Lonchura striata: one gene and its partners. The protein of the gene in region 1 binds, or shares a complex with, the protein of each later gene. Links are inferred from orthologs where the notes say so. Each region holds a gene or a part of one and is shown on either strand. Other genes may lie near its edges.

Region 1 (9,511 bases):
GGGGTCGAACCCAAACAGCCACAGCTCAGGAGCAGGCCCAGCTCCAGGGACAGCAGAGCAGGAGCTTTGGGACTTGGGGAGGATCCCCAAGGGAATAAATCTCCGCAGCCTGGTCTGCAGGGATCCCAAGGACAGCACCTGGGCCATGCTGTGGGCATGGGGGATGAGGTGGTAGGGACTGCTGCCAACACCTGCCAGGAGAAAAATTTATGGAGTGGAAAAAGGGACAATGCAATGTAGCTCTTAATTAGAAGACAGCAGGACTGGAAGGAGAATTGCTTTATGTTGGCTTAAATATTTTATATAATGCAGAGTCAAAGCACATGACTTTGATAAAAATAGTGTGTTTTAAAATAAACCATTCCATGCTGTTGTGGGGTCTTTTTTTTTGTTTTCCAGCTTTTGGAGAGAAATCCACCTTATACATTGGGCACTAGATTCCCCCTGACACACTGGCCGGACACCAAAATCTACAACCGTGCTGGACTCATACCTAACTACGCTGGCTTTGTACCACGTAAGTTCATCAGCCGAGTGAAAACGAAAGTCACTAATTACTGGGTTAAGTAGTGCTGTTATTAGCTGGAGTGGCACAGCAGTGGACAATCACTGAGATGCTCCACATGGGTAGTAGACTTTTTTGTGGTCTGTGCTGAGGCACTGGAACTCTGCCATGCCCTGGCTGCAGGAGAGCTCAGCATTCCCACTGCCAGCCTCTCCCAGGCTTCACATTTCCAGGCACCATCCCCTGCCAGGCTCAGTGACATCCCACCTGTCACGTATGAGGAAGATTTGTTCCAAAAAGCTTCAAGTCTGATTAAAAGGAAAAGGTAGATGGTATGAAGGGGTTGAAAAAGCACAAAAAGTGTAAGGAAATGGTATTTGCCATCAGGACACGTCCTTGCCCGAGCCCTGTGACATCTTGGGCTGCCTAAAAGGAGAGGTCTGGAGGAATTTTGTGTGTAAGGCAAAGTGTGTCCATGCACCTGGAAGCATTAACGTACCAGGCTAAAAAATATCAACGAATCAGCAACTACTGCCTTGCTGGGTTTGGTCACATCTCAGTAATGTGGGTAGGAAATCGTGGAGCTCAGCTGGGAAGAGCTGAACTCATTGCTCGTCCTTGCTGCAGTGCAGAGGGGGGAAATGGGAGAAGATATGAAATGTGGCAGGATTGAAAGCACAAAATGGGAAAACAACTCTCCTGGCAGGGCTGGGCTGTGGCTGATGGGGAGGTTGAGCCCAGAGAGGAGAATGCTGAGTGCAGGTCTGACACTGGGCCCTTTTCTGCAGACATTCCCACTTCCCTGCCTCTGGAGCCACCAGTCAGAACAGTTTTAACTGCTCCAACCAGTCCAGCTCTGGGTGGAGAAAATTAATTAAGGCAGAAAACCTTTAAACAAAAGCAGTTATAATTTAGAACGCTGAACAGAATTTTTTCAGCAGGGAAGGAACCTGCTCCCTCCTGTCCAGCTCCTTGGTTGGCAGGTTTGTCACTTGAAGTGACACCAAACATTGGAATGTGTTCCAATGGTTTTGGTTCTAATGGAATTGTTTTTACAATGGAATTGGTTCCATTGTAAAAACCTGCTTGTTAAAACAGGGTTTTCACGAGACAAACCAGTGTCAGATACCTGTCAGGTGTTCAGCTCACCCAACAAGCAGAGGCTGCATCAACACCGATTATCAAACCTCTGCTGTGATTTCTGCAATCACTGCAGAAGGGCTGTGTGCGTGGGACAGTTTTGATGGCACCTGTGACAGTGTGCCCTGCACCCTTGGGCCAGGCCAGGGCTCCCTGCTGGGTTTGTAGCGCTGAGGAGCTGCAGTGGAGCAGCTCAGCTGCTGCAGAACACCCAGTGCTGGGTGGCAGCTCTGTGGCACCATTTTGTGCCCAGGCAGCTCAAACCACCCCTGCTCAGCTCCTGCCAGGCCACGCTGCACCAGGCCACAGGCAGGTACCTAAATTTAGCTACAGCTCGGAATTAAATCCACCCTCCCTGTTAATGTGCCCCCCTCCAGCAGTACCTGACTCTAAGAGACCAGCGAGTGCCTTCGATCCGCACCGGCAGGAGCAGGACTGCCACCCTGCCGGTGACACAGCAGGCAGCACCTGGCTGAGGGCAGGACAGGAGGGTGGCTGCCGTGGACGAGGTGGCAGTGCTCGTGCCAAGCCCAGTTTTTGTGTTGCAGACCTGCAGGACATCAGCGGGCTCACTTACGGGGACGGCACACGGGAATCATACCGGTGTGAACAGAGGAGACGGGGACGTGCACTGTGAGAACTGCTTTAATGGTGCCTGTACAGCATTGGGAGTGACTTGGAAACAGCAATAATAACACAACACAAACAGAACTTTTGAATGAGAGAGTTCATACAACTTTAAACAAAATTTACAGGTGTTCAACTGCATAGCTTTATTCTGCTTCCTCCTCAGCTTCCTCCTCAAACTCTCCCTCCTCCTCAGCTGTGGCATCCTGGTACTGCTGGTACTCAGAGACCAGGTCGTTCATGTTGCTCTCAGCCTCTGTGAACTCCATCTCATCCATGCCCTCGCCCGTGTACCAGTGCAGGAAGGCCTTTCTGCGGAACATCGCAGTGAACTGCTCAGAAATGCGTTTGAACAGCTCCTGGATGGCCGTGCTGTTGCCAATGAAGGTGGCAGACATTTTGAGGCCGCGAGGTGGAATGTCACAGACTGCTGTCTTAACGTTATTAGGGATCCATTCAACAAAATAGCTGCTATTTTTGTTCTGAACGTTTAGCATTTGCTCGTCCACCTCTTTCATGGACATGCGGCCCCTAAAGACAGCGGCCACGGTCAGATAGCGGCCGTGACGAGGGTCACACGCCGCCATCATGTTCTTGGCATCGAACATCTGCTGGGTGAGCTCTGGCACGGTTAGAGCCCGGTACTGCTGGCTCCCACGGCTCGTGAGTGGGGCAAAACCAGGCATGAAAAAGTGCAGACGTGGGAAGGGAACCATGTTCACTGCCAGCTTCCGCAGGTCAGCGTTGAGCTGGCCTGGGAACCGCAGGCAGGTGGTGACACCGCTCATGGTGGCTGACACGAGGTGGTTCAGATCACCGTAGGTGGGGGTCGTTAACTTCAGTGTTCTGAAGCAAATGTCATAGAGTGCCTCGTTATCGATACAGTACGTCTCGTCCGTGTTCTCCACCAGCTGGTGCACTGACAGCGTGGCGTTGTAGGGCTCTACTACAGTATCTGACACTTTAGGGGAGGGCACCACACTGAAAGTATTCATAATTCGGTCTGGGTACTCCTCACGGATTTTGCTGATGAGAAGGGTACCCATGCCAGAGCCGGTGCCACCACCCAGGGAGTGAGTAAGCTGAAAGCCCTGGAGACAATCACAGCTTTCAGCCTCCTTTCTCACAACATCTAACACAGAATCGACTAATTCAGCACCTTCCGTATAATGGCCCTTTGCCCAGTTGTTTCCTGCTCCGCTCTGACCTGGAAAAGAGCCATTTTCGTATTAGATTACGGTCACTGCTTCCTGCTTATTGCTCGCAAGCAAAGCCTAAGAGCATCGGGCTCCATGAAAGCTTTCATCTCATCGAGCGCAGGGCTGTGGTTTCACACAGGCACCTCTGCAGTGGCTCGCCAGACACAGACAAACATTAATTACCAATGATACAGCACCCACTCCATTTCTCCCGGTGGCACGCACCGAGGCGGTAACCCAGAACCCGACAGCAACGACCCCTGGTGCCGCCGCGGAGCCGCTCCCAGCCGCAGCCCCGGCGCTCCACGGCAGGATTAGCCCCGCAGTGCCCTGCCCGCCCCACCCCGCGGCGCCCGCCCCCGCGCACTCACCGAACACGAAGTTGTCCGGCCTGAAGATCTGCCCGAAAGGCCCGGAGCGCACCGAGTCCATGGTGCCGGGCTCCAGGTCCACCAGCACGGCGCGGGGCACGTACTTGCCGCCTGCAACACAGCGAGAGCCGTGACCGCCGTGACCGCCGGGCCGGGCAGCGCGGGGGGAGCGCGGGGCGGGGCCGGGCCCTACCTGTGGCCTCGTTGTAGTAGACATTGATGCGCTCCAGCTGCAGGTCGCTGTCCCCGTGGTAGGTGCCGGTGGGGTCGATGCCATGCTCGTCGCTGATCACCTCCCAGAACTGCCCAAGAGAAGCGCGTCAGCGCCGGCCGCGCCGCGCTCCCCTCCCGCCCCCGCGCCCTCCGTCCCCGCCCGGACCTTGGCTCCGATCTGGTTCCCGCACTGCCCGGCCTGCAGGTGCACAATCTCCCTCATGATGGCGGCGGCTCAGAGCGCTCTCCACAACCCCAGGCTTTCCCCAACCGACTCTGGCTGTGCGAGGCAACCGCCAGCCCTTATATAGCAGCGGAATGCGCGCGCAGCCTTCTTCTCCCCGCCCAGGCGGCCATTCGCCGCAACGATTGGATGCTTATAGCGAGGCTCTACAAATGAGAGAATCTAATTGGCTGCGGCGCTGTCACTCAAGCTGACGGCTCCCATTCGCCCCGCCCTCCTGTCTGTTGGCGTTACAGTTGGGCAACCGGGAGCCGCGAGTGCCCGCCCCAGCTCGCTCACGGCGCTCCCCATTGGCTCAATTGAATGATTGATGTCGAAGCCGATTGGCTGCCGGCCGTGGGGGATGAGCTAACGCCGTTTGATTGGCGGAGAACGAAGCGCCCTGGTAACCGTCGCAGTGACTCCGCAGCGGGCTCTGGGCGGTGGCCGCCGCAGCCGCCCATTCACGGACCCGAGTGCGCGCTTTGCGCAGCGGAGGCGGCGGCTCCTCCTCACTGCGGGACAGGGCGGGTTCCCCGCGAGTCCCCAGCGCTTCCCCCCCGCCCCTCGGCTCCGCTCCTCCAGGCAGGTTTCCCTCCTTCCTTCCCCGCCCGTCCCCCCGTCCCGCTCCAGCCGGCGCCGCAGCGAGTGGGGGAAGGAGGCCGCGTGCGCACGCGCGGGCCGCAGCCACATTCCAGCACTTTCCGGCGCGCGGCCCCGGCCCCGGGCTGGCGCGGCCGCGCGCGGGCGTTGCCATGGCGGCGGCGCGCGCGGGTGGCGGGAAGGGGCTGGAGCGGGCGGTGTGAGGGGAGCGGGAGTGTGAGGCCTTGGCGGGCTGAGGGGGACGCTGAGGGCTCAGGGGACGCTAAAGGCTCAGGGGTTCTGGCAGCTGTGAGAAGACTGTGGGGGCTCCAGGATCTGTGAGGGCTTGGGGGTGCCATAAGCGCTCGGAGGGCTGTGAGGGAAGTGTTGGGATGTGGGGGCGTGAGAGGGCTGTGAGGGCAGAGGGGGGTCCTGGCAGCTGTGAGGGGTGTGTGGAGGTTTGGGGTGTCCAGCTGCTGTGAGGGCTTAGGGCTGCTCTGAGCCTTGCAGTGGCAGCTCTGTAGAGGCCCCTGTGGTGGGAGGGGAAGATCTGCCTGTGAGGGGATCTGAGGTAGACGTTGCTTAGTTGTCAAGGCCTCCCCACATGGACACTCCGTCTTGGGCTGTGTGTGGGTGCTGCAGCCCTGTCCTGAGGCAGCCAGACACCCTGTGCTGAATAAATAACCACCCTCGCCTTTCCTTGTCCCTTATTCTACCTCCCAGCTTTGTGAGCACATTCTTGCCCAGACAGTGCATCCATTGGTCACAGTTTTATTAAACATATTTGATTATTGTTTCAGCAGAATCTTTTTATGGTTGTATGTATTCATTGTGATTCTAGCTTGGTTTACAAGTCCCAGCATCTCTTCTTTCATACTGGAGCAAAAACTTGAAAGAGGCTTCTAATGGAGCTCCCAAGGCAGGGAGTCTCATCCTGCTGTCTTGCTGTGGGGTGGGCTGACCTCAATTGTGCTGACACAGACCAGCTCTGTGTGACACTCATCCTGGAATCTGTGCCTGGATAACAATAATCCAATCCTGTGCTGGGGTCAGGTGAGGAGGAGGTGGCAGGATATAGAAGCCTCGTGAAGGCTTTGGCTGGAGGTTGAATGGCCTCTGGTAGTCTGCTTAATATAAAGATTATGAAGATCAATACTTCTGGCATGTAAACAACATATTCCTGCAGAGGTGCTGGTAGGAGTCCAGGAGCACTTGGAGCAGCCCCAGGGCATCAGGAGTGACTGAGGGTCCTGGGAAAGGTTTGTGTCTGCCTGTGGGGTGTCTGGGGAGACACACACAGCTCATCCCTCACATCCACAGCCAGAACGCAGGAGGTTCCTGCAGCTCCCTTTGAGAGAGCTGAGTAACGCAGAGGCGTTAGGGTCCAGATTTATTCCTCTAATTACAGGCATTGATTGAATAGTGTTCATGCTGGAATCAATGGAAAGGGATGGCTCGGCCCGCTCCAGCTCGGCACAGTCCTCTGACATCACCTTTTTGTTCTCTGATGGTGTTTGAGGTGACCAATTCCAAAAAGTGCAGCATCATTTAGGTACTAAAGGCAGCCAGGATGAATCTGATAAGATTGCTCACGGTTACACACAAGGCTGTGCTAATCAGTAAAGACAGCTTTTCCTGCAGGATGTGATGCCATCTCTTCAGAGTAATGTACAAAAAGAATCCTGGCTTCTTTGTGATTAAAGCCAGGGAACGTAGAGCGTGCTGTCTGGAGAGGTACCTTCAGCATCAATTCTCTTCAGGTGTGCTCAGCACAGCGTTCAGAGGTATGTGTGCTCAGGAAACCCTGGAAAACCTGCCCTGAGATGGAGTGGGGGAGCCACTGCAGGGCTTGGGGGAGGTTCTCTGCTACGAGTGCTGTGTAATGCAGATACAGGTCTGGGATTTTTTCATCCAGGGCCAGAAAGCAAAGGGCTGTGCATTAGTGCCATCCATTTTCTCACTGTATGAGCAATCCCGAGCCTGTGTGCTTCCCACAGCCTCTACTCCAGCCTGCACTGCCTTTCATGTTTGGGAAGCTGCTCTGTAATGTGTGGAGTGAGCAATTGTTGCCACCCCCAGCATTCCCAGAGGGAGTGTGAGAGTGGAAATGCTCTGCTCGGTTAAGGCTCCCATACCTGTCTGCAGAACACCAGCAGGATTGTTCCCAGTGCAGCAGGGCTAGGACCCTATGGAGCAGCTAAACTTTGCTCTTTGATTGACTTTCTAGAGGTTTCCCCAGGAGATTCAGCCACCTGAATATCTAAGGGGGAGGCATTTCAAATTATTTGTGCAACATTAATTTTTGCTAATTCTAGCCCAGTCAGCGAGTATTTCTGTTCTTAGCTACCTGCACATCCACAGGAAATGACAATCCTATCTTAAATATTTTTCCATTTTTAAAATGGAAGTAAAATGCCAGTACTTCTAAGATCTCTCTGAGAAGGAGCACAGTCAGGAATCTCCATGGAGAGCTGCTGGAGCTGCTGACCATGTCAGCCCTGGTATTTCTAACGCTGTGGCAGGCCAGCATTAATTAGTGTGTGCCAGGAGGTGAGCTGGCAAGTGCCACAGCAGGCTGTTCCAGAACCCTGGCCCACATGGAGCATTCCTCCCAGGGTGAACCTCTGCATGGAATACTGAGTGTGAGGCAAATTCTGGGACAAAAAGCTGCACATTCCACAGTCCTGCCTGAGCCGAATGCTGAAGTGCATTTCCCTTGTTTTAGTGGAGAGGCTGCATCTTGCCAGAGTAGGGAATGCTGGAAGGCAGTTGGGAGGGCAGAGAAAGGAACAGTGCTGAGGTGGGATGCTTGTGGCTCCCACATTGTGTTTTCATTTCAGACATCTGTCTTAGCTGGTATTTAATTACTTTGAAAGTTCTCCTCAAACTCTGCTGCAAGTGACAAGCAGGGAGGTTTCACCTCATTTAGGGGCAGATCCCATCTGTAAGTGCTGCATAAATTAATGTGGTGAGAAGGGTCCTAGAAAAAATCAGGGCAGTGTTACATGGCCAAAGACCCTGGGTATAACCCAAAGATAGACACTGGGAAGTTAAAACAAGTTGGAAATTGCACTTCTGTTTTTCTGAATTACGTATTAGGGTTTTTTAAAACTTTTTATTACCATTGTTTTGGCTTTTAACTACCTGTATTGCTTTTGGCTTGGAAACAGATTTTACTGTAAACACAACTGGTTTGGACAGAATGGGGAGGGACTTTCTTTTCACTCTTGCATATTGCCTTCCCCATTTGCTTAACAAGTGTTCTCTGCATGTGTGTACAGAGCTGATCCCTCCCCTCAGCAGGCAGGCACACAGCGACTGTTGTTCCTCTCGGTGCTTACCCGGTGAGATTGCAGCCTGTGTCTCTGAAACAGGATCCAGTCTGAACTGAGCCTCTACCTGGGGCTGGCAGGAGCCCAGAGAGAAATCACAGAACTAATTATGTTTCTGTAGGTAAAAACCTGAAGCCCTGAGTTAAGGGAGGGACACTGGCGGATGAGTGTGATAGGAGCAGCCTTCAGAACCAGAGGGTTTTTGGTGTTGGGGTCGTTCCAGGTTTATGGTAACACTGAAGTGAGACGTGGGTATGTGCAGGTGTTTCCTCATTTTTGTCTGATTGTTACTTCTAAGGATAAACAGTCTTGTTTTCCAGAAATTACTGCTGCTGTGATATTGAAATCATGAAGGTGAGAGGCTGATTCCAGAGACCAGTGAGTGAGAGGTGCAGTTGTGGGATTCCTGCCTAAGGGAAATCAGAATAGCTGAATGGGATCAAGCCACAGACCCACCCAGGCCAGTGTCTTGTCTCTAATGCTCTGCAGCAGTTACCAAAGAGGAACAGGGCAAACAGATATGGATGTGGCAGGTGGTTCAGGCAATTCTTCAGCCACAAACAAGTAACTTTTTGTTTAATAGCCCCAATGGGTTATTATGAGTTTATCTAATCACCTTTTACAGCCATGTAAACTTCTGGCATAAACAGCCTCCTGTCCTGATTAGTCCTGTGGTTTAATTACGATCAGTGTGGAAGAAGAGTTCCTTCCATTTGGTTTGATGATTTCCACTGGGTAACTCCGTTCACAAGGTGGACAAAGTGGTGAGTCTGTCCTTTCAGAGCTTTCACTCCAGGACTGTTTCACATTTTTTGTGATACTGTGAGACAAGGTAATGCTAAACCAGCTTTTACTTTGTGTAATGTTTGGCATTAATTCGTGATTTACATCTCCTTCATGTTTGAAGCCTGTGAACTTTGAACATTGTTCCCATGAAGGTTCCACAGCTCTTCTGCTGTTCCTGTCCAGTGATAAGCCTGATAGCTGTTGCCTTCTTTAATGTGGAGGATCTGTTTCTCCTGAGACTTTGCACCAAGAAGTGGTGACTAATTTGGTCATGAGGTGCACATATGGTGACACCCCTGCTGTGAACAAAAATAAGTTATCCTTCACACAGAAGTTGATTTTATCATTCTTCTGTCTCTCTCAAACCTCCTCTTCATTCTCAGGGCCTGGTAGGGATTATTCTTTCTCCCTCATGTTTCCAAAAGAGCCTTCATCCATACTCCATGCTAGTGCCTGTCTCCCTGCATAGAGGGCTTTTTCCAATGGCTTCTTAAATCCCTGATCAGAGTGGCTTTCACATCCCACACAGAGAG
Region 2 (10,464 bases), on another chromosome or scaffold:
TTGACATGCTGCATTTTCAGATATACTCTTGCTATGTCTTTTTGTCACAGAAAAAGCAGTCATTCTATTTCTTCAATGTCTTTTCAATCACCTTTTAAAAAGAATGATAATTAGAACTTTCAAAAATATTATTCACTGCATGTTTTCTAATAAGGGCTCCATATGGGGGTATGGCAGCATGGAATTTTTTACACTATTGCTGGGGCACATAGTTGACTTTTTTCCTGTCAGTCTGCTTCTGACTTAGCCTCTCCATGCTGGATGGATGTTACAAGACAGAAACAGATAATGAATAATTCCACTAAAACACCCAAGAAAGGCAGGGAAGGGAGGAAATAAGGTTACAGATTTCGCCAATTTATACCAATACTATTTATAGAATTATTTCTCAGTGAAACAACAAAGTACCATAATTTCACATCTATGTAATAGTCTCCACATAAAATTTCCATTTTCAGCCTATGTGAAAGTCACAGAACTGGGAAAAATAGAACTGTATGCATTTTAGAGTACTATTTGTCACTCTGCTCCTGTGCAGGCCTATGAAATAAAGGGTAACCATCTCTAAGCAGACCACATCACACAGGTACAGCCCCCAGGGGCTGAAGCAATGCAGAAGCCCACAGACTCACGAGGAGGATTCTGTAGGCTGAGGAACCTTCATTCCAGAGAGCCACCCAGCAGCCTGACATTCTTCACAATCAGATCTTAATGCTAAGCTCCTCATCAGAAAGTCTGTCTGCTCTACAATTCTGTTTGGATCCTGATGAAAGAGAGGAACTAGAAGAAAAAGTACTGGAATGGGCTGAGCTCACAGTCTGTGACTTCAAATCTGAACTTGCTTTCAGTAGCAAGACAATATCAAACTCAGTAAGCAACCAGGGCATCTGTGAGTTTCTTGTTTCACAGAAATATTTTGCTTTTCAAACAGCACTCAAAAGAAATCAGGCTTCCAATTCCTCCATGAAGTTCTTATACTGTTTTAAATGCCCATCCTGAAGTGATTGACAGTTCTGGAAATGGAGATCATGCTCTCTCAGTTGCTTTTTTTCACATAATTTTAAAAAATAATTTATATTGTATTAATACAGTGGTTAAAATTAGTAGTTTACACCTCAAAAAATAGCATACAGTAGGCACTGAACACACATAAAAGACCTTCTTATGTGGTTTCTTATCAGTCTTTTAACTTACCCACGTAATAATCCTCATGTGACAGAACGTACAAATCATGTCCTTCTCTTGCTTCTGTATCCACTTCCTCAAAGGTTTTTGGTGGATTTACAAGCTCTCCAGCTGTTAAATCTGGAAACAAATAAAGAATGTATGGTTGGGGGAGCTAAGGGAGGTGGATATCTTGTTTCATTCATTCTTAATTGTAAACAATACCTTGTTAGAGAAGTTGCTAATACTGTGGAAGGACAATACTTCTTACCACATTGCTAGTCAGTCTATATTCATCTAATAACATAATGACATGGGATTAGGGAGAGAATCACAGAACTCCAGAAGAACAGAACTTTTTCAAGAAAGCTACATGGGTAACACAGATGTGATTTCCTCCAATCTATGGAGGAAAGGTACACATGTCAAGGAAGTTTCTTCTATAAGAGTTGTTGGGAAAAGGAAGGTAAGTTGACAGCTACCCTACAGTTCTCCCAGGAAATCTATAAAGACAGATCAGGAAGAGAGCCAAACGCCCTGGTAGTTACCATATGTTCTCAGTTGCTTGTATCTTCATTGTAACTGAAAAATGTTTAGGCCTTTCAGTAGCTATCATATAACTCTTCTCTTAAAATGGAGTTGTTGAAATCATAGAGCATGTGCTAGATACTAAATTGCAGATTATCTTGTATTTACAGGAAATATATTTAAATGTCACACTTTCCTACCTTTGAAGACTTTCACTCCAAATGTAGTATTAATTATATCCAAGCCCTCAGGTAACTTCAAAGATTGATCATGTGATTTACCCAAAGGTGCTTCGCGATTACTGGAGTAAATTGCTTCTTTCATGTCTTGCATCTTTTCTTGAAATTCACTTTTAGCAACTGGACTTACCAATGAAGCTACCTGAGGACATCACAAACAACACCAAAGGCAGGAAAACCAACAATCTTTGATCTTTCACACATCACTACAACTACCCACACAAACAAAAGTTTGCTCATAAGTGTTCTAATGAGATCTTCATGGTTACACTGACATAATTTTATCCATTGAGTTGCAAACCAAACCTGTATCTTGAGAGAAGACTACAACCCTAATAACCAATGCTATGCTAAATTTCCAGCTAAATAAAATACTTTTAGTGAGATATTTTTTATTCTAGATTTTCCACTTTTTAATATGTACATTTTCTGCATTTTCTGACTGCAATCTTTCTTTTCTTAGCACATATTAGAAACTATAGTCAAATTATAATGTGACCAAAACTGAAGTGACTTGATTTTTCAGGCTATCTATCAAAGTAATGGGGATTCTAGAGAAGATTTATTATTAGATTCATATTAAATATTATATAAATAAATATTGAAAAAGTAGTAGCAAATACAATTGATCCAAACTCATGCTTAGCAAATGGAATAGGCTTCTAACCCTTCCTACAGATAATATTTAATTAATAATGCAAAATCTTCAACAGACAGTACAGGTTAATCCAGTACAGATCAATCCATTCAACAAAAACCTTCTAAGAAAGGACATCAAAACCTGGCTGTCTTTCATTTTAGATATGCCTAATAAATGTCCTACTTAACATCCTGGAACACTAGGACTTACTTCCTTCATAAAAATACACTTTACTAACACAACTGCTATTTTTAGAGATAGGAACACTAACTGTGTGATAAAACTATGGATGATCTCATCACTTGTTTATTGCAGATTACAAAGATAATTTCTAGAGAATACACACAACATAGTCTGACATATCCAAACTATCATTTTTAGCTAAAAAGATCAGTTTCAATCCAAAGGCAAGAAAGCATACAGAATAATTACACCAAACTGTGAACACATTCACAGAAAACAGCTCTTTTGCTAAGAGCTCAACTGGTTTTATCTCTGCAACCTACAAAAAAAAAAAAAAAAAAGCAAGCAGAAAAATTTGTGGGAAGAAGACTGTTCATTAACTTAAATCTTGAAATGAAATTAATAATTCAGCATTCACTATGAAAGTTACATCACTGACAACAGTCACTGCACTTCAAATAGTTTCCAGTTTCAATAATGCTAAATAAGACCTATGATTTGACCTCAGAACTCAGGTAATTCACAGCAACTGTGAAATGCTGAAGTATAAATCACTTGCCTTTATCACTGACTATGAAGAAATCAGTTGCTTTTATTAAGAATGCTCTTAAGAAGTCCAGTCTTAAACAAGAGTAAATGAGTCACATTCTTACAGTGAATTTGGAGGTTGACTTTATGCCATGTGTCAAGTGAGTTGCAACGTCGGGATCACCCGCACTGCCGTAGAATATTATTTTAGCACCAGGAGCTGGATCTGTTGTATTTCGAAACTTTCGTACAGCGATGGGAGTAACAGGCTATATGTAAGACAAAGCAAAAACAAGTTTGCACCAGACAAACATTAATGAAAAGAAAATGTACTGCAGACATTTGTGTCATTCCAGATATAAGAACAAAATACGAAGATGCTTTAGGGCTATAGTACACGCATATGCTCCTGCAGATGCTGATACTGTGAGCATAAGGTCAACGTAACCCAGATTAAATTTTATCAAAACAGCATTGCTAAGTTTCAACACTTCCCATAATTTTTTTTTTTTTTAATTTGGGTAACAGCTACTTCACATGCTCTAGAGGAAAACTAGATGTTCCAACTATAAATTTTAGAAGCCTTTAACCTGATTCACAGCAATTCCACTATCAATGAAGCAGTTTTTGAAATTATTTAAACCACAGTGTTGGGGTTTCTTTAATTATTGTTTAAAGGGAGACCTGCTATTTACAGGATCTATTTGTGTCTCAGTAGTCTCTGACTCTTCAGGTCCACAGGGAAGGGCCAATGGGAATCACAATTCTGGCAGGCATCCTTGTAAAGAAGAACCTCCATCAAAAGCAATAATAATTCCCAATAATTACTTTCATTGCATTACCAGAGGGAAAAACCGCCTAAAACAATTATATTTAGTCCCAACAAAGCAAGCATGGTAACTTTTGTAAAACATGTGGAATGAAAATGAACTGCCAGAAGTGATTTCCAGTCTTGCCAGCTAGCCTCTGTAATTCCATGCGATTTAAAAAAAAAAAAAAAAAAAAAAAAATTAAAAAAAAAAAATTGAAATAAACAGTAGTTTCAAAAGCGAAGGGATGTAGAGGGAAAAAAAAACAAACCAGGAGCCTCTACAAAACCAGCTCACCTTGGGCGCCTCTTTGAGACAACTCGCAACCGTATTGTCCGCGGGACTCAACTTTCCAGCCTAAACAATGCAATGAAAAAATAAATAACGTATAACTAACCTCGTAATAATACACACAACTAGTCAAATTGGGATCTGACACTACGCACGGGACATTGTCCAAGTGTGCCCGTTTTGATGGGGGTGGGAAGGAGCCTCCCCCGTTCTGGGAGCGAAGGGGCTGGCAGGGAGATGCGCCTTCCCCTCCCACTCGCCGTCCCTCCTCCAGCCCCTTCCTTCGGCGAGACTCCGCCCCAGACAGCACTGATAGGGGTATGGGTGGAACCTCTTTGGCGAAGGCGCTCACGTTCGGCACCTCCCGGGTCCCGTGGGGAAGCGTCTCCTCGGGACATGTCCGTGGCTGCTCCGCCATGGCCACGGCTTACCCTGCTCGCTCGGTAACGGCGGCGGCGCTGGCAGCGCTCGTGCGCGGCGCGCGGTGCCGCCGGCGCTCACAGCGCCCCGCCATCCCCTCACACCCAGCGCCCGTCCTGCCCCTCACAGCGCCCCGCCATCCCCTCACACCCAGCGCCCGTCCTGCCCCTCACAGCGCCCCGCCATCCCCTCACACCCAGCGCCCGTCCTGCCCCTCACAGCGCCCCGCCATCCCCTCACACCCAGCGCCCGTCCTGCTCCTCACAGCGCCCTGCCATCCCCTCACACCCAGCGCCCCTGTCTGCCCCTCACAGCGCCCCGCCATTCCCTCACACCCAGCGCCCGTCCTGCCCCTCACAGCGCCCCGCCATTCCCCTCACACTCAATGCCCCCGTCCTGCCCCTCACAGCGCCCCGCCATCCCCTCACACCCAGCGCCCCTGTCTGCCCCTCACAGCGCCCCGCCATCCCCTCACACCCAGCGCCCGTCCTGCTCCTCACAGCGCCCTGCCATCCCCTCACACCCAGCGCCCCTGTCTGCCCCTCACAGCGCCCCGCCATCCCCCTCACACTCAATGCCCCTGTCTGCCCCTCACAGCGCCCCGCCATCCCCCTCTCCCCCAGCGCCCACCTCTTCTCCCCTCACAACCCTCCCACCACCGCCTTCAGCACCCGCCACCCCACTTACGTCTCACACCCCCCTCGAAAAGTATTGCATTGGGCTGTTTTTGTACATGTCATGATCTAGAAAAATAATTAAGGTCCAGCCGCAGAGGTCGCACATTCCTTAGACCTTTTATAAATGAAAGCTACAATTTGTTAATTTAAGAAAATTTATTAAATTTACCAAATATAAATTTAGAGAATAACAACAAATAAAGAAATGCCACTATCAAAATGGAAAAAAAAGGTCAGTGCTGAGCCCGTGTGTCGGCGCTGGGTGAGACGCAGGTTTGACCGGTGCAGCAAAGGGTCTCCTATGCTCCACACCAACCCTCCTGTCTGGCCGATTTTTATACGATTTTTCTTGCTCGAGGCAGAGCCCCTTTTCTTCCTTTTTGGAATGCACGTGTTTAGTTGGAGTTCCAGGAATTCAACATTGAGATGTATCTCACTGATGGCTCTGGCTATCTCAATTTCGGATCTTTATCGCATATTTATCGCATTTTTATCGGACGTTCCTTGGCCTACTTTGATGGGTGATCCATCTTTGGGCTGACTATGTTCAATTGCTTGTGAATCGAGTCCTCCCTCCTTTGTCCATGTGGTTTCACCGCCGCTGGCCTGTGTGTTTTTAAAAACTTCTTATAAGAGTATATCTTAACAGTACATAACTATAAAATATATGACAATTTTATTTGCACAAATTATCATATACACATATAACAGACCTATTGTTAAATCTTTGAAAATCTACCAGCTTTAAGACAGGTGGGTTGAATCTTGAAGTTGAAATGAGGTCTTACATGCTCAAAGATTTGATCAAACTTTGAATCTTAATTACTTTAATAAAAAATACTGCTCCTTTCACAAATGTTGTCACATGCTATTAAAATATTGGGGCTGTTCCTCTAGAGAAAACTGCAGCCCCCACCCACACATAGCTTGGAGGTGGGTGAGAGAAGCCCGTCAGCACTACCCCATGTATCAGACACGTGAGTGCTGTCACTGTTTGTCTTAAATGAGTCAACACCTCATATATCTAACCCACTGTATTTGCCTTTTAGAAACAGATGTGGATTATTTCAGAAAAGCAGTGTGGGTAAGACTGAACAAGTTTCATTGACGTTTAACAGACCCTCAGTTGTTACAAAGACTTTTATTCGCATATGACATTTAGCAAACTATCCCGTTCTTCCCAGCAAAATATCGCAATTTAATCACATCCTGCTCCATTCTCCATAGTCCTTCGATGGCAAAACCAACTTTAGATAAATATACAGACCTTAATTGTAATTGATCAAATGTTACCATGTGTCATCATTTTATTCTCTAACATTCGTTTGGTAAGGACTTCATTAAAACTAAATTCCTTTTCTACAAATGGAAAGTGAGAGGCTCAGACAGCCACAGCTGTCTGATGATGTGCTCTGGCTGTCCAGTCACCAACAGTACTTGCCAGTGCCATGATCCATGAACTTCCAGCACATATAAATGTATCTTGGTCTTCTCCAGGCAAGAAGCATCATGTATAACATCAACTGTGATCTAGCTGTGGCAATGCAGATGCCCTTTCTCAAAAGAAGTTATGTGTTTTTTTGCTGTAGACGTGGCTGCATCACACACCTAGTATGGAATATCCATGTCCACTTGGGAACTAAAGAAGCTCTCATAAAGTCTTAGTGTGTTCAGTTCTTTTCATATTTCAGTTATATTTGTTGTTGCCTGAAGTTTAGAGCATTTCTGCAAAATAAAACAATAATTTTTGGTAGTTTAATAAATAAAATTATTGGTTATGTCTTGTGATCCATTAATCTGTAAGGTTAAACTTCTATCTAGTAAAGTTGTCAGAAGGGAGATCTATGGAGAGGGAGAGCAAAGTACAGTAGTGTAAAAATTAGATGGTAATTATAGGGTACAGGAAACTGGGACTTTTTTATCCCAGAATAAAATTCAGGAAATGGAATTTTTGTGTTTGTTGTATTTCTAGATGGCTCTCTACCTGTGCTCAAGGTGGTACCATTTTTATACATTCTGTGCATTGCTGATTTATTTTTACCTTGTTTTTTCCCCAGCAGGTGGCCACACTTGCTAATTGAAATCATCCACTCAGCCCCAATGGAGTGGGTTGTGTTAAGGCATAAAAATAGGACTTGGATATGTAAAAAGAGTGCCTGTTGCAGAAACAAGTAGAGCCTATTTTTTTTTTTTTTTTTTGCCTCTATGCTTCTTTCCTTTTTTGCAGAAACATGGGTCCCTATAAATCAATTTGAAACCTACTGACAATATACATTCCTTCCTATAATTCCTCTCATTCTGGTATCAGTGTCATATCCATTCTTTCTTATACTGAAAGTTATTTTGGCCACAGAAAGAACATTTGTGGAGTAGGAAGGACTTGTAATTTTAAAGATAAGATGAAGCATTAACAAAAACCAATTGAACTCAATTTTATGGGAAAAAAAGATTAAAACTTTCTTTACTTAAGCATGAATTTGTCATCTCCTATGTCAAAAGTAGGATCTCTAGAGAAAGCTGTTTGGAAAAAGTTGAACAAAATTTTCCATTCCACAGCAGCACTTCTTTTCCTCAACAGTACTTGACATTTCACAAGTTTCTGACATCCAATTCCCACAAGCTCATGCATTTTTTTGTGTTGTTTAGGCTAAAACAGAGGAATGGAAACTGTCTAAACTCCTGCATTTTACTTTCTTTATGAAGCGCAAGCACCCCATGTTCTGCAACACAGCTCTCACTCTGACTATGGTGCTGGCCTAGACCAGAGTCAAAACACTAAGTTTGTAGGTTCCTGAAGGTCTCTGAAGGCCAGAGGAGTTCATGTAAAACACTCCAAATGTTGTGAAACATCTGAATTACATCAGCCATGCCAATGCACTTCACTGTTACTGCCTGGTTGCTTTCATAGTTTCTTATTCAATACATTTACAGATAGGAAATTACTGTTTTCTATGTGCTGCACGCTTTCTGTATGCAATACGCAAGCCAATATAAGTGCAGAGAAAATGTACACAAGTAGAGATAGGAGACTGAAAAAAAGAATGTCATAGGGAAAAAAAAGAGGGGGGGAAGTTCAAACACAATGAAGAGATTCTGCACATAAACTGCAGAGAAATGCTAAAATAGATGGAAAGCCACCTGGTGAAAACATAACCAACATAAATTTATTAATATCACCCAGCAGTTTCACTTTTGGAATGTGATATATGAACCATGATGAAATAAAATATGAAAACATGACCACAAGTAGGGGCTATCTGTGTGATTTCAGAGCTTTCCTTCAACATCTTTTTGTGCAGACTACAAGATAAGAAACTTGTCTTCACCACTAGAACCCACAGAGACCTGTCAAGCCTGAAATACAGTAGCTGGAACTTGGTCATTTGATTACTGCCACATTCTCTCATGCCTCTCTTTCACATATTTCACACATTCACAGTGAACCTTTGGTGTTTACTGTCCTACTCTGTCAGCATCAACCACATGAGAACAATTTAGGCATTTCACAAAGTGAGAAAGACATGCTACAGCTCTGCCCTGCAGTCAGAGAGTTAAGTTAGCCAGCAGGAACCTCCTGCATGCAAAACAGGCTTCCTAACAGCAATTATATCATGTGAATAGAATTCCTGCATAAAAAATTTCATTTAGCCTTGAGCTTCAGATACATCTGACAATCTGAAATATTATTTCAATTTTATGAATGGAATTCATATTAGAATTATTATTTATGTTAGAAGCATAGAAAATGATCCTTACATATAGAATAGTATGGTCCTTTATTTTATAGGATTAAGTGAAACACAAAATGTCATGTATGATGTGTTTAATCTCTAAATTGAATTTAGTTCAAGTTATTCTAAAGATTCAGTGTGATATTTTTCCACAAAAACTGTTCATGTATGTACTGTGTCTGGCTGAGGCAGAGTTCATTTTCTTCATAGCAGACTGAATGGTGCTGTGTTGTGGATTTGTGACTAAACTACTGTTGGTAACACAGCAGTACCTCAACTACTGCTGAACAGTGCTTGCACAGAGTAAGGACTTTCTCTTTTTCCCCACTTTGTCATCAGCCCCACCCAGGAAGAAATGCTGCTGATGGTCCAGAAATGTGGGAGTGGAATACAGCTAGGACAGCTGACCCAAATTGATCAAAGGGATATTCCATCTCACACAGCATTGCAATCAGCAATAGAAAATGGAGGTAGACAAAGGAGATTGTCTTCCAAGGTGGCTGCTGCTTGGAGACAGGCTGACACTGTCCTGCTTATGGGAGGTAGCCAGATATTTCCTTGCCTTTTAACTTCCACTTTCCTTCATCTATCACACTGTCTTTATCTTAACCCACAAGTTTTCCTGCTTTTGTTCTTTTGTTATGTTCTCTGTCTTACTGCAGGGAGGTGAATGAGGTGAGTGAGTAAGTGAGTGAGCGAGTGAGTGAGTGAGTTGAGTGAGTGGCTGCCAGGTTGACTGGATGCTGGTGCCTGGTGCTCCAATGCATGCATGTCAGGTGTGTAGTAAAACACATTTGGTTATCAGGAATCTGCTGTTTGCTCAGCAAATCCTGCAATCCAGTTGAACATATTGAGACCAGTCAATGGGTTATGGCAAATAAGCAGTGTACTAGGGCAGGATTACATGAGTTAAAGGACAACTCTTACAAACATTTAGGAAACTCACAGCTCAAAAAAGTTTGTATACTTTACTTAAACAAACATGTTTCTCTGGAGCTAGTCTGGCATTCTACATCACTGGTGAATGCAGACTATTTTACTTTTTTTGAAGTTACATATTGGCCTTTCACAATGCACTTACGTTAAGTGATTAACTTCAACTTAATAAAGGAGAAAGGGGAAATTGTTACTCTGAGACCAAACTGGTACCAGTGGAAAAGTGTATGGAAAAGAAGAACTGATGAAGACTAAAAAAACAATCTGTTTTCATTCCATTCACTTCAGTATGTTCAAGTATTTATATGTGATACTAAG
Region 3 (9,534 bases), on another chromosome or scaffold:
TACATTGTTTACTTTGGCAAGGACTCTTAAGCAGTAGTTTGTTGTTATGCTTTCCAAAATATGTTTTTCAATTTCCATATTTTGTTAGCAAAGACCTTTTCCTAGATGTTTCTCAAAGTAAGTGGAATTTGAAACTCAACTTTATTCTCTCATCACACAGATAGGCTAGATCACAGCACTGGGCAATGGATACTCTATTTACATATTGCCTACAAGTAAGTATGGGCCATAATTTAAAGAAATTGCCAGATCAATTTTCTTTAGGGCCCTATCTGAAAAACTCGAAACACTGCATCAGAATATCCTTAACCCCTCCTTAGTCTCCAGTGACATGATATTATAATACTGTTATTTTGCAGTCATTTAAAAAAAAATCAACCAAAAATACCAAAAAAAGCAAAAAGACATGCCCCACTCTTTCTCACCCTGTCTTTCAAAAAGAAATTCAAGCAAAACTTCTCATCTCCCTTAATGGAAACAAAATACAGCATGTTTATGTGTATCTAGCAAAACTAAGCTATCTTTTGAAGATATCCTACTTCAAATGACACTAACTTTATAACACCTTGCTGACAGAGTAACAATAAAGCATTTTGTAGGAAAATAATAGTTAATATGTAATTCCAGTAAAACACAAAGTGTTTCATGGTTCAATTCTGTACATGCAGTCCAATACAGTGGCAGAAGGGAAAAAGACTCAAAACAAACTGAGCAAAACAGGTCATGTATTTGAAATGCAAGTAGCCTTTGATATTCCAAGGCTTAGGTTTTGTTTAATCAAACTACCAGCCAGATTATTCCACATGTTTGTGAACTACAACTGGAGCTTGTAACTCCAGTCTTGTAGTTGAACTATCCATAGCATTAGAACACCAAAATGCCAACAAAAGAAGAAAATTTCAGAAAATACAAAAAGACATCTTGCATACCAAAACTGCAGTATGAAATCAAAATATCTAAGTAGAAAAACTAAACTACTTTTCTTTTGGTTGCTACACTAGTACCATTATTATAATAGTACCATGTATATAAATATATTCAGGGAAATTCTGAAAGGTTTTAGTCTTATTTTCCTTCTTCAAGGTTATTTTCATACTAATGAGAAATATTTATGCAGAAAGTATATTACCAAACACTGAAAAAGGTTGCAACACAGAGGAATGATCGGTCATCCAGATAGCTAAAACTTTCACCTAGGCTCCCATTATCACTTAACTTGATTACTGCTGGATGAATCATATTTCACTGTCAAAGCCCTTCGCAACCTGTCGTTATTACCACCTTCATCTTCCATTCGCCACAGAAATGCTGAACTGCCACTGTTAACTATATAGAGTCGACCTTCTACATTTTTAAAACAGTTTAGGGCCTTCTCCTGGCATTTTTGCTCTTTGAGAGAGATTTTCTGAAAAAATTTCACAAAGCTGTCCCAGCATCTTCCTTCAAAATCAGTTTTATTTTTTTATTTTTCCCCCCAGAACAGGTGTTCAAGAATGTGACATTATTGCCAGGGCTGTTGACTAAGAAATAGATCAGCCAATCCAACTGCAGATTGCCACTTCCATTCCACTAACAACAGGTTTTAGCTGATCCAATGGTAAGCAAATAAATAAAATAAAGAACAAGCTTTAAAACCCCACCTCAAAAAAACTCCCCAGACCTACCAAGCCCCTAAGTAGAGGTAATGCAAGCTATGTCACTTAACTAGCTCAGTCCGGATTCAAATTACACTTTAGGGAACCTGAATGTGCATAAGTCTACATGACCTGGTCTGTGAGATATGAAGAGAAAAAAGAAAGATAGAAAATAAAAAATCAGTTAAAGGAATTATCATGTGTATATTATGGTATCAAATTATGAGGATGTAAGACATTTCTAGAGATATGAAACTGTGAAACATTTTGAAAAATATACTATGTATTTTATAGGAAAATTCTTTTAAATACTCAAGTTAAAAAAATGGGCAGATTATTTTCTCACCCTTGCATTCCTACCCCCAATTTTTGCTATGGCATTCCCAGCTTCCAAATGTTTAGAGGAGTTTTCAGAAAGTCTCAAAGCAGGATACTGGACCAGGTCTCCACATCACATACTTTGAAGATAATTCTTTTTTTGGGGGTGAGTGGGGGAGGGTGACATGGTTTTTGGGGTGTGGGGAGGCTGGGATAGAGTTAATTTGACTTAGAAGCTGGTAACATGATGCATCTTGAATTTAGTTTGAGAATAATGTTGGTAACACACTGGTGTTTCAGTTGTTGCTAAATAGTGCTTAGCCTGAATCAAGGACTTTTCAGTTTTCCATGCTCTGTCAGTGAGGAGGTGCATAAGAAACTGGGAGAGTGTGGCCAGGAGACAGCTGACTCAAACTAGCCACAGGGACATTCCACACCAAGAGATAAATTGGTGGGAGCTGGTCTGAGGATGGGCTGGGCATTGGTCAGTGGCCAGCGTACAATTTTATTCTGCATCCCTTTTTCCTCCAGTTTTCTTCTTCTCTCTCTTTTTCATTACTATTATCATAATCATTAGCATTATCAGTATTTTTATTACTCTGATTCAATTATTAAACTGTTCTTATTTTACCTGAAATTCTCCTCCACACCCTGCAAGGCAGGGGAGGAGGGGATGAGCCAGTGGCTGTGTGCTTCTTAGTTGCCAGCTGGGGTTAAACCAGGGCAGGTTGCAACTCATGTAAAGCTGTGTTTTTAAATATGCAACTAATTGGTCTGTACATTTCATAATCAATATTCACAAACGTTTCCATCTGCCACAGTGAAAATAAAATTATCATTCCTCAGTCACAGAACATTTATATTCATGAGCAGTAAGTAAATATTTAGATTTCAGTGTGAAGCTAGAGGCATCAGCTCTGTAACCACATGGGCAGTCCCTTAGGTACACTCAACTTACTTTTCTGAAGCATTGAAAAAACAAACACACACTGCAGTTCTGCAAACACATGTATTTTATATACTACAGCGATACATCAGATCAGCAGATAACATTGCAAAATAAAAACACTGGGATACCTGACCCTCTGTGCTTTCCTTAAGGCAAGCCTTCAATTTAAAATGTTCTCTACTACATAAGAAAAAAGTAGCTCAAATGACAAAGTCCAGTAAGAAAAATTCCACAATTAGGAAGGGATCATTTGCATTAATATGTATACAGAGTGAAAATACTGGACAACATTCTTTTTAGTTTTAGCAAAGGTGAAAGAACATTAGCTATACACATGCAATCATATTTTCACTGCTAAGAAGACCCAAAGCATTCTTGGAAACTTCTGAGACGTTCCATTTAAAAACAATAAACATTTTCACAACAAAATGCGGAGTTTTCAATTTGATCAGATCTTAAGTAGACAGCAACCATGACACCAATGCTGACGAAACAGCAAGCCTGAGAACAGCAAGGAGTTGCTAAAATGCGTGTGTGCAATCCACTACCTTTTATAGGTTTTACTTTAAATAATTCTCAAAACTGAGAAAATCAAAGATGAAATGCATAATAAATAGGAACGCTACAAAACAGATCCTGCAATTTCGAACTTTCCCAGGTATGGATTAATCTTTCAAGGAAGTGAAGAAAACCCACTGCTGAAACAACCAAGTCACGCTTCACACCAGCATTGGATGGGTACAGAAATCAACTCAAGGTCCAAAGGGTCACACTCCCAACACCGTGAGGTGTTGAAAGTTTCTTCTTTTCCAGGTCGCCACCAGGTACCACGCCGGATTAATAACAAGTATATATGCTGGCAAGGCCAAAAAACGTTCGCAGATCGCACAAACCTTGCCGAGAAGCACTTACAATCGATATACCGAAAAGGAATAAAAGAGCTCTAAAAATGAGCTCAGTCACAAGAACTGGCCAGACCTTTCCCCCCCTCCCCCGGGGGTAACAGAGGAGGGCTTTGCCCCGCCGCGGTTTAAGCAGCGGGCCAGGAGCGCGGGCGGCCCCAGCCCGCCCCGCCGCGAGTGCGAGCTGCCCCGCCCTGCCGAGACACCGGGCGAGGCGCGCGGGGACCGAGGGGAAGCGAAGGGGGCCGGGACAGCCCCCGCCGCTCCCAGGGCCGCAGAAGCGACAGCAGAGGCAACAAGAGCAGCGGCGCCAACAGCAGCGGCCGCGGCAGCGCCGGCGAGGAGGGCGGAAGGGAAGGGGCGGGGAGGAAAGGGCGGAACCGCATCCGGGCGCGCCCCGCTCCCTGACGCGCTCACTCACCGATCATGGCGGCGGCGGCGGCCCCGCGCGCGGAGAGGGGCGAGGCGTGCGCGCACGTGCCGGCCGCACCCACCGCTCCGCGCTGCCCCTTTCGCCGCCCTGGGGGGGTCGCGCCGCTGCGGGCGTGTTGGGCCGGCCCTGAACGCGCATGCGCCTCGGTGGCGGAGGTGGAGGCACGCGCTGGGCTCTCTGGGTAGCGTAGTTCCTGGGCAGCTCACACCCGCACACGCTCTTCTCACGTTATCGCCTCACGTTTCCGCCACACACCGCTAATGACTTTCTCGTTAATTGCTGTCCGCCGCCCCGGTGTGCGGTGCACCGGGGGTAGGTACAGCTGTCCGGGACCGGGCGGTGCCGACGGGGCTATTTGTGATTCCCCTCCCGCTTCCCTCAGGGTTGTTGACGCGTTGCCTGGCAACGGTCGCGTGGTGGCAGGTGCCGACGGAGCTCGGCAGGGCCGGAGCCGGCGGGGACACCGCGGCGGGCGGGAGGGCGGGGGCGAGACCCCCGGGGGACAAGGACATCAGGTGGCGAAGGGCTGGACACGGCGGGGTGCGGGGGACGAGCGGGGATGATGCAGAAGGGGACTGGGGAAGAGGGGCAGGCAAAAGGGGTCTGTGAGGAGTAGGGAAGGCGCGGGACGGGTGTGTGAGGCTGCCGCTGGTTGCGGAGGGAGAGAAGCTGGACCTAATGCCTGCTCTAACTCGCTGGACACGGGACGCTGATGGTCGCTTGTTTTTTCCAGTCCGTAACTTGCATCTGGTCCGCCGTGGGCGCCGGTGGGGAGATTGTAATGGAGGAGGGGCGCCCGGGCCCCTCAAAATTGGCCGGTGACAGGCGGCCCCAGCAGCAGGAGAAGAAGGACAAGCAGCAGGACAAGCAGCAGGCCTGCGAGGGTTTCAGTATTAGAGCCATGATGAAAAACAGCGTGGTATGTTTGCTGCAAGCATAGTGGTGATACTAATTAACTGAACTTGTCCAAGAAGCATAGCAAGTTAGAGCTGTGGATATAGCGTGGCAGGAAGGTGTGCAAGTTTCTAATACTTTATCTGGAGTTTGCTGGTTGCTGAAATTACCCTCGGACTTTGCAGGAGTATTGCTGCAAGTTGCGATACTTTCACCAAGTGCTTTATTTTGGTGTTACTTCTTTTTTTTTTTTTTTTCTATGGTTTTGTATTGGCAGTGCACATCCTGTTAAACTGCCAGCCTATGGAATTGTGCGTGAAGCTTCCTGCCTCCCACTTAGCAAAATGCTGTCCAGTAGTGCAGTATTTCTCAAAAGTTTTCATACACTGGCATGGTATATAAAACTGATATGAATGTCACATAGATCTGGAAAATAGATTAATAGATTTTTTTAAATAAGCTTGGAAAATAACTTCTACACCATCTAGGAGAATACTAAACAAACAAACATTAGTTCTCCAACTTGTAGTTCAAAGACAGAGAAATTGATCCAACAAGTAGCAGTCACAATTTCTAATGAACTTGGAGGCTTGGGAGTTAAAATAGTAGTATAAAGGCCCTTCAAATCTCTTTATACTGTTTTATTTATCTACCTTTATCAGAATTTAGGAGTTAAAAGCTTTAACTAGTACAGAGTACAAATATTCAACATGTGAGTGGATGAGGTAATATTACCATACATCTCTGCCTAAGCTCCTGAATTGTATTCTTCATTTGGACACAGTTCAAGGTGTTAGCAAAGGCTTGAGTCCTCAAGGGTTTTTTTAAATCTATAGAGTGTTCTGACAGCTGTTATGAAATACATTATTTCCCTTTGTTTTGCTGAAGTGGTCTTCCTGGAGCAGTCTCTCTGATCTTGTTATCAAGATGTTATGTTATCAAGAAGAAGTTAGCAAGAACATCCTCTTAAAAAGCCAAACAAGTATGTCTTTAAAGAAATTTTAAATAGAGTAAAAGTTGTATACCTGAAAAACTTTCTCCTATTTAGTAAAACTGCAACATATTTCACCTTACTTGGAAAAACACAAGGTGAATACAGCCAAATAATCTCTTTGTTTTAAAGATTGTTTGGTTTGTTTATTTTTATTGTAGAGATGCATGGAATGAACTATAATACTTCAGCAACCTTTAGGATTAATTTTTAAAATATGTTTCCTGTTCTCCAGAGAAAATTCAAGTAATGGATATTTGCATGTGGTTGTTTACACCTAGATATGTAAAAGACTATTTTGTCTAGAAGAATCAGCAGTTTCAGTTGAGTTTGAGAAGCACATATTTAATTTATAAAAAGGAGCTGTGACTTGTGAACATAACTAACTATGAGTTTAATCAGAATTCAGGTTTCCTTTTAAATATTTATAGAGTATTAATTTTTATGGCTGCCTTTATGACTTCCTAAACATGAACAGACCATTAAATCATGTGATACTGTTGTTAAGGAACTGCCTACAAGTAAATCTGCTGCCTTTGCAGCTACTCACAGAATAACAGAAATTATTTTCTTTGGCATGGACATCTGGAAATCATCTAAGCCAACTTTCTACTTGAAGTGGGCCTGTCACCAGTATCCAGATCAGGTCAGTGAGGGTTTTCCTAGCTAAACTGTGACATCAGGGATTGCCTGACCTCTCTGAGCAGCCTGTTTCATTTCTGCCCTGCTCATCTGTCCCCTCGCTTGCCCTCCCAGCCTGTCAGAGCTCGGGTTTACAGTATTATGACCTGCTGCACATGTTCTACTCATAACTGGGTTGGAAGCTCTGAAATTCTTAGTGGTCTTGGGAGATTCATAGTGCCAGGGCTATGTTTTGCAAGAGCTCCATCTGTGGTCAGGCAGCCACCAGAATAACTTCCAGTGTGCAAAAAAAGGAATATCTCATAGCCACGCTCTCTATGCTGAAGTGGGAGTTTCTTTTTACTTTTCCAACTACTTTTTGAATGGAGCTTTAGATTTATTAAGTACTCACTTGTCAGAGGTTGACATCTTTGATGAAGTTCTCATGGAAGGCTTGGGAGTTAACTGAAGGGTTGAAAGCACAGCAGGAATATCTAGTTACGACATGGTAATTCTTTTTGTTAACAGCATGATAAGGCATAGGGTTAAACGTGTTTGGCATCTCCAGGTCAAATAATGAGGTATTGATTAATAGCCTTTAGTGCAAGCATGTAGTTAGTCTTAAACTCTTAGCGTAGATTACCTTTATGCATATATGACTGTAAATATTATACTAAATGTTCCGGAATTCTTTTACATTGCTTGGGCAAAGAGTGTTTTACTAAGCTGTTTTTCTTGAATGTTCCTGAATAAAGTCTGCTTTTGTAGTTAGTAGTAAGTGCAGAAATTAAGTAGATACAGTATTTAAGACTTTTCTCAGCTCTTGCTAAATCAAAAACTTGCTTAGTGAAATACAATGCTTAAATATTCACCTAAAAATGTTCCTGAACTGAATAAAGTGTTTAAGTTACTCCAAAACTGTAAATTTATATATCAGTTTAGATTAAAAGCAAGGTTCAATAAAGGTCTTCTATAATAACAAGAAACATTTACATTTTTATTGTTTTGTCCTCCGGTGAAATCAAGAATGTTATGTGCTCTTACTTCAGAGGTACTGCATATAGAACTAGGAACACAATTAAAAATTAATGTAGAGACTAGCCGATATAGAAGTGTCTGAACATGAATGTGAGCAGCAGGAATATATCTCAATTCATTTCTGATCCTTTCTAGATGACATTTTCCTGTTTTCTGCAACTGTAGAGAAGAGAATGAAGTGTTAGTGTCCCACTTTTCTGTAATGCGCTGGTGGTAAAAGCACTTTTTCAAGGACAGGATTCATTTTAGTACTTAAAGGAAACAGTAGAATGATAATTCTTATCTATCTCCCAACTCTTATAAGATTACTATTACATTCATGTGTTCCATGACATCAGTCAGAAATTGCCTTCAGGAACAGGCCACAGGGATAGAATGAGAATATTTACTAGATGATCTTAGAAAGGAAGGGATGCTAAAAATTTTCGTTTCTGTATTTCTAAAACCAAAGCAGCTATTCAGCCTTAGAGTCTTAGCTCTGTATAGGGCACAGCTTTCATCGCCTAAAAAAGTGTAATTGCTCTTAAGCAGAAAAATGGTTATTTGTATTGCAGCTCTGGATTTTCATTCTTCTGTTCTACATTTAGGAATCTGCAGTCTCTATGTGTGGGAATGAGTTCTCAATCTTTGTACTTTAAGCACTTCTCTCAAGCCATTTTCAGTAATGTGTTGTGAAGAGCTTTCTTACGCTTTACCATTAGAAAATAACTCCTAGAAAAAGTTTAATTTTAACCATGATGTGATTTGTTTATGTTCCGAAATTTGTGATTTGTCATTATATTTATATTCATCTATCCACTGCATAATCAAGACTGATTTTGTTATTTACTTTGTAGCAGTCAAAGTTTCTAATTTGATTTTGAGGCTATAGGAAAGAATACAAGAAAGTTGTATCTTTTGATTATAACAGCTAATTTATTGGAAGAATCAGTGTGTTTTGGGGCAAATAGATGTCAAGTTAAAGGAGTATTTTGATAGAGGTATATTGAGAAGTAGCACATCTGTCTTGGAGGAACTTCTCCAGTTTAACAATAGCAGTTGTGTACAATCTAGGAGTACACTTCAGTGAGCACTGCAAGACAATTTAAACTGTCAGTGCTCTGGAAGGCAGTCCTATCTTCTTCCTCTCTCAGGCTGTTTAGTACTGCTGCCTGTTGTTGTGTCCTCATTTGTACAATGTTGGCTGCTCAGGGAACTGTTCGTGCTGAAAAAACTCCAACCTTTTAAAGCTCACAGTGTTGAACTGCTGTCTGTGGGATTGAGGCAAGCAAGGCTTCTCCTTTAACGAGGTTCATCTGTTTTGCCCTTCTCCCTGTCCTGACTGCATGCTTTCATCTCTCCTTTTGCACTGATATTGTTTTTTCTTGTAAATATAGAGTAAGTTGGATCAGCTGTAACAGCTGCAAAGGGAAGCAGGAGAGTGTCTGCATAAACTGTTTGTGTGAGAATGTACCCTCTTGGAAATATTGCAGTCTTAATTAATTTAAAACCAGTATGATACCAAGTTCTAGCAGGCTAATGACACAAGCAATTACAGCAGCATAAACTTGCACCATAATTGAAAGGTAGTGTTTTCATCCCTGAACATTTATTCATTGTGCAATATGTACTTTTGTATGGCTTTGCAGTAAACTGAACGGGGGCCCTGGTTAAACCTGGATTAAAAGCAGCTCAACATGTTTGGTTTTTTTTTAATTTAATAGCATTTTAATAGACATGACATACACTTCGATAACAGTATAAGCTCACAAAAG

Evidence for each region.
Region 2: the proteins of TUBB4B (region 1) and EFHB are in contact, whole or in part, in a cryo-EM structure (PDB 7UNG), measured with the Homo sapiens proteins. The link is inferred for Lonchura striata from reciprocal best matches to the Homo sapiens genes TUBB4B and EFHB. Residues at the interface, in NP_006079.1 of Homo sapiens: Asp26, Glu27, Asp31, Pro32, Thr33, His37, Gly38, Asp39, Ser40, Leu42, Gln43, Thr55, Gly56, Gly57, Lys58, Ser78, Gly79, Pro80, Phe81, Gln83, Leu215, Lys216, Leu217, Thr219, Thr221, Asp224, His227, Pro243, Gln245, Phe270; in NP_653316.3 of Homo sapiens: Tyr523, Gly524, Val525, Gly526, Leu528, Ile529, His530, Asn531, Arg532, Tyr537, Arg539, Asp542, Arg545, Ala546, Ala549, Ala550, Arg552, His553, Lys556, Tyr608, Asn624, Phe625, Trp628, Asp630, Lys631, Thr686, Leu687, Leu688, Ser691, Asp692.
Region 3: the proteins of TUBB4B (region 1) and PACRG are in contact, whole or in part, in a cryo-EM structure (PDB 7UNG), measured with the Homo sapiens proteins. The link is inferred for Lonchura striata from reciprocal best matches to the Homo sapiens genes TUBB4B and PACRG. Residues at the interface, in NP_006079.1 of Homo sapiens: Glu194, Phe260, Pro261, Arg262, Gln291, Phe294, Asp295, Ala296, Arg306, His307, Gly308, Arg309, Tyr310, Val333, Lys336, Asn337, Ser339, Tyr340, Phe341, Gln375, Ser413, Asn414, Asp417, Ser420, Gln423, Gln424, Tyr425, Gln426, Asp427, Glu432; in NP_689623.2 of Homo sapiens: Glu40, Gly41, Phe42, Thr43, Val44, Ala46, Met47, Met48, Val53, Arg54, Gly55, Pro56, Pro57, Ala58, Ala59, Gly60, Ala61, Phe62, Arg65, Lys154, Arg160, Arg162, Arg191, Gln192, Pro195, Asn198, Ile199, Phe200, Asn202, Met203.

Annotation. Positions count from the first base shown.
Region 1 is NC_134624.1:4,243,743-4,253,253, reverse strand, and holds TUBB4B (tubulin beta-4B chain), read right to left. Parts: upstream 4,329-9,511; 5' UTR 4,279-4,328; coding exon 4,222-4,278; intron 4,145-4,221; coding exon 4,036-4,144; intron 3,954-4,035; coding exon 3,843-3,953; intron 3,480-3,842; coding exon 2,419-3,479; 3' UTR 2,273-2,418; downstream 1-2,272. UniProt on the Homo sapiens protein: Tubulin is the major constituent of microtubules, a cylinder consisting of laterally associated linear protofilaments composed of alpha- and beta-tubulin heterodimers.
Region 2 is NC_134603.1:120,172,037-120,182,500, reverse strand, and holds the start of EFHB (EF-hand domain-containing family member B), read right to left. Parts: upstream 4,801-10,464; coding exon 4,735-4,800; intron 4,449-4,734; coding exon 4,389-4,448; intron 3,552-4,388; coding exon 3,408-3,551; intron 2,074-3,407; coding exon 1,893-2,073; intron 1,306-1,892; coding exon 1,195-1,305; intron 1-1,194. UniProt on the Homo sapiens protein: Microtubule inner protein (MIP) part of the dynein-decorated doublet microtubules (DMTs) in cilia axoneme, which is required for motile cilia beating.
Region 3 is NC_134605.1:36,998,168-37,007,701, forward strand, and holds the start of PACRG (parkin coregulated gene protein), read left to right. Parts: upstream 1-4,833; 5' UTR 4,834-4,948; coding exon 4,949-5,155; intron 5,156-9,534. Other genes in the region: PRKN (E3 ubiquitin-protein ligase parkin), read right to left, coding at 4,225-4,231. UniProt on the Homo sapiens protein: Microtubule inner protein (MIP) part of the dynein-decorated doublet microtubules (DMTs) in cilia axoneme, which is required for motile cilia beating. Suppresses cell death induced by accumulation of unfolded Pael receptor (Pael-R, a substrate of Parkin).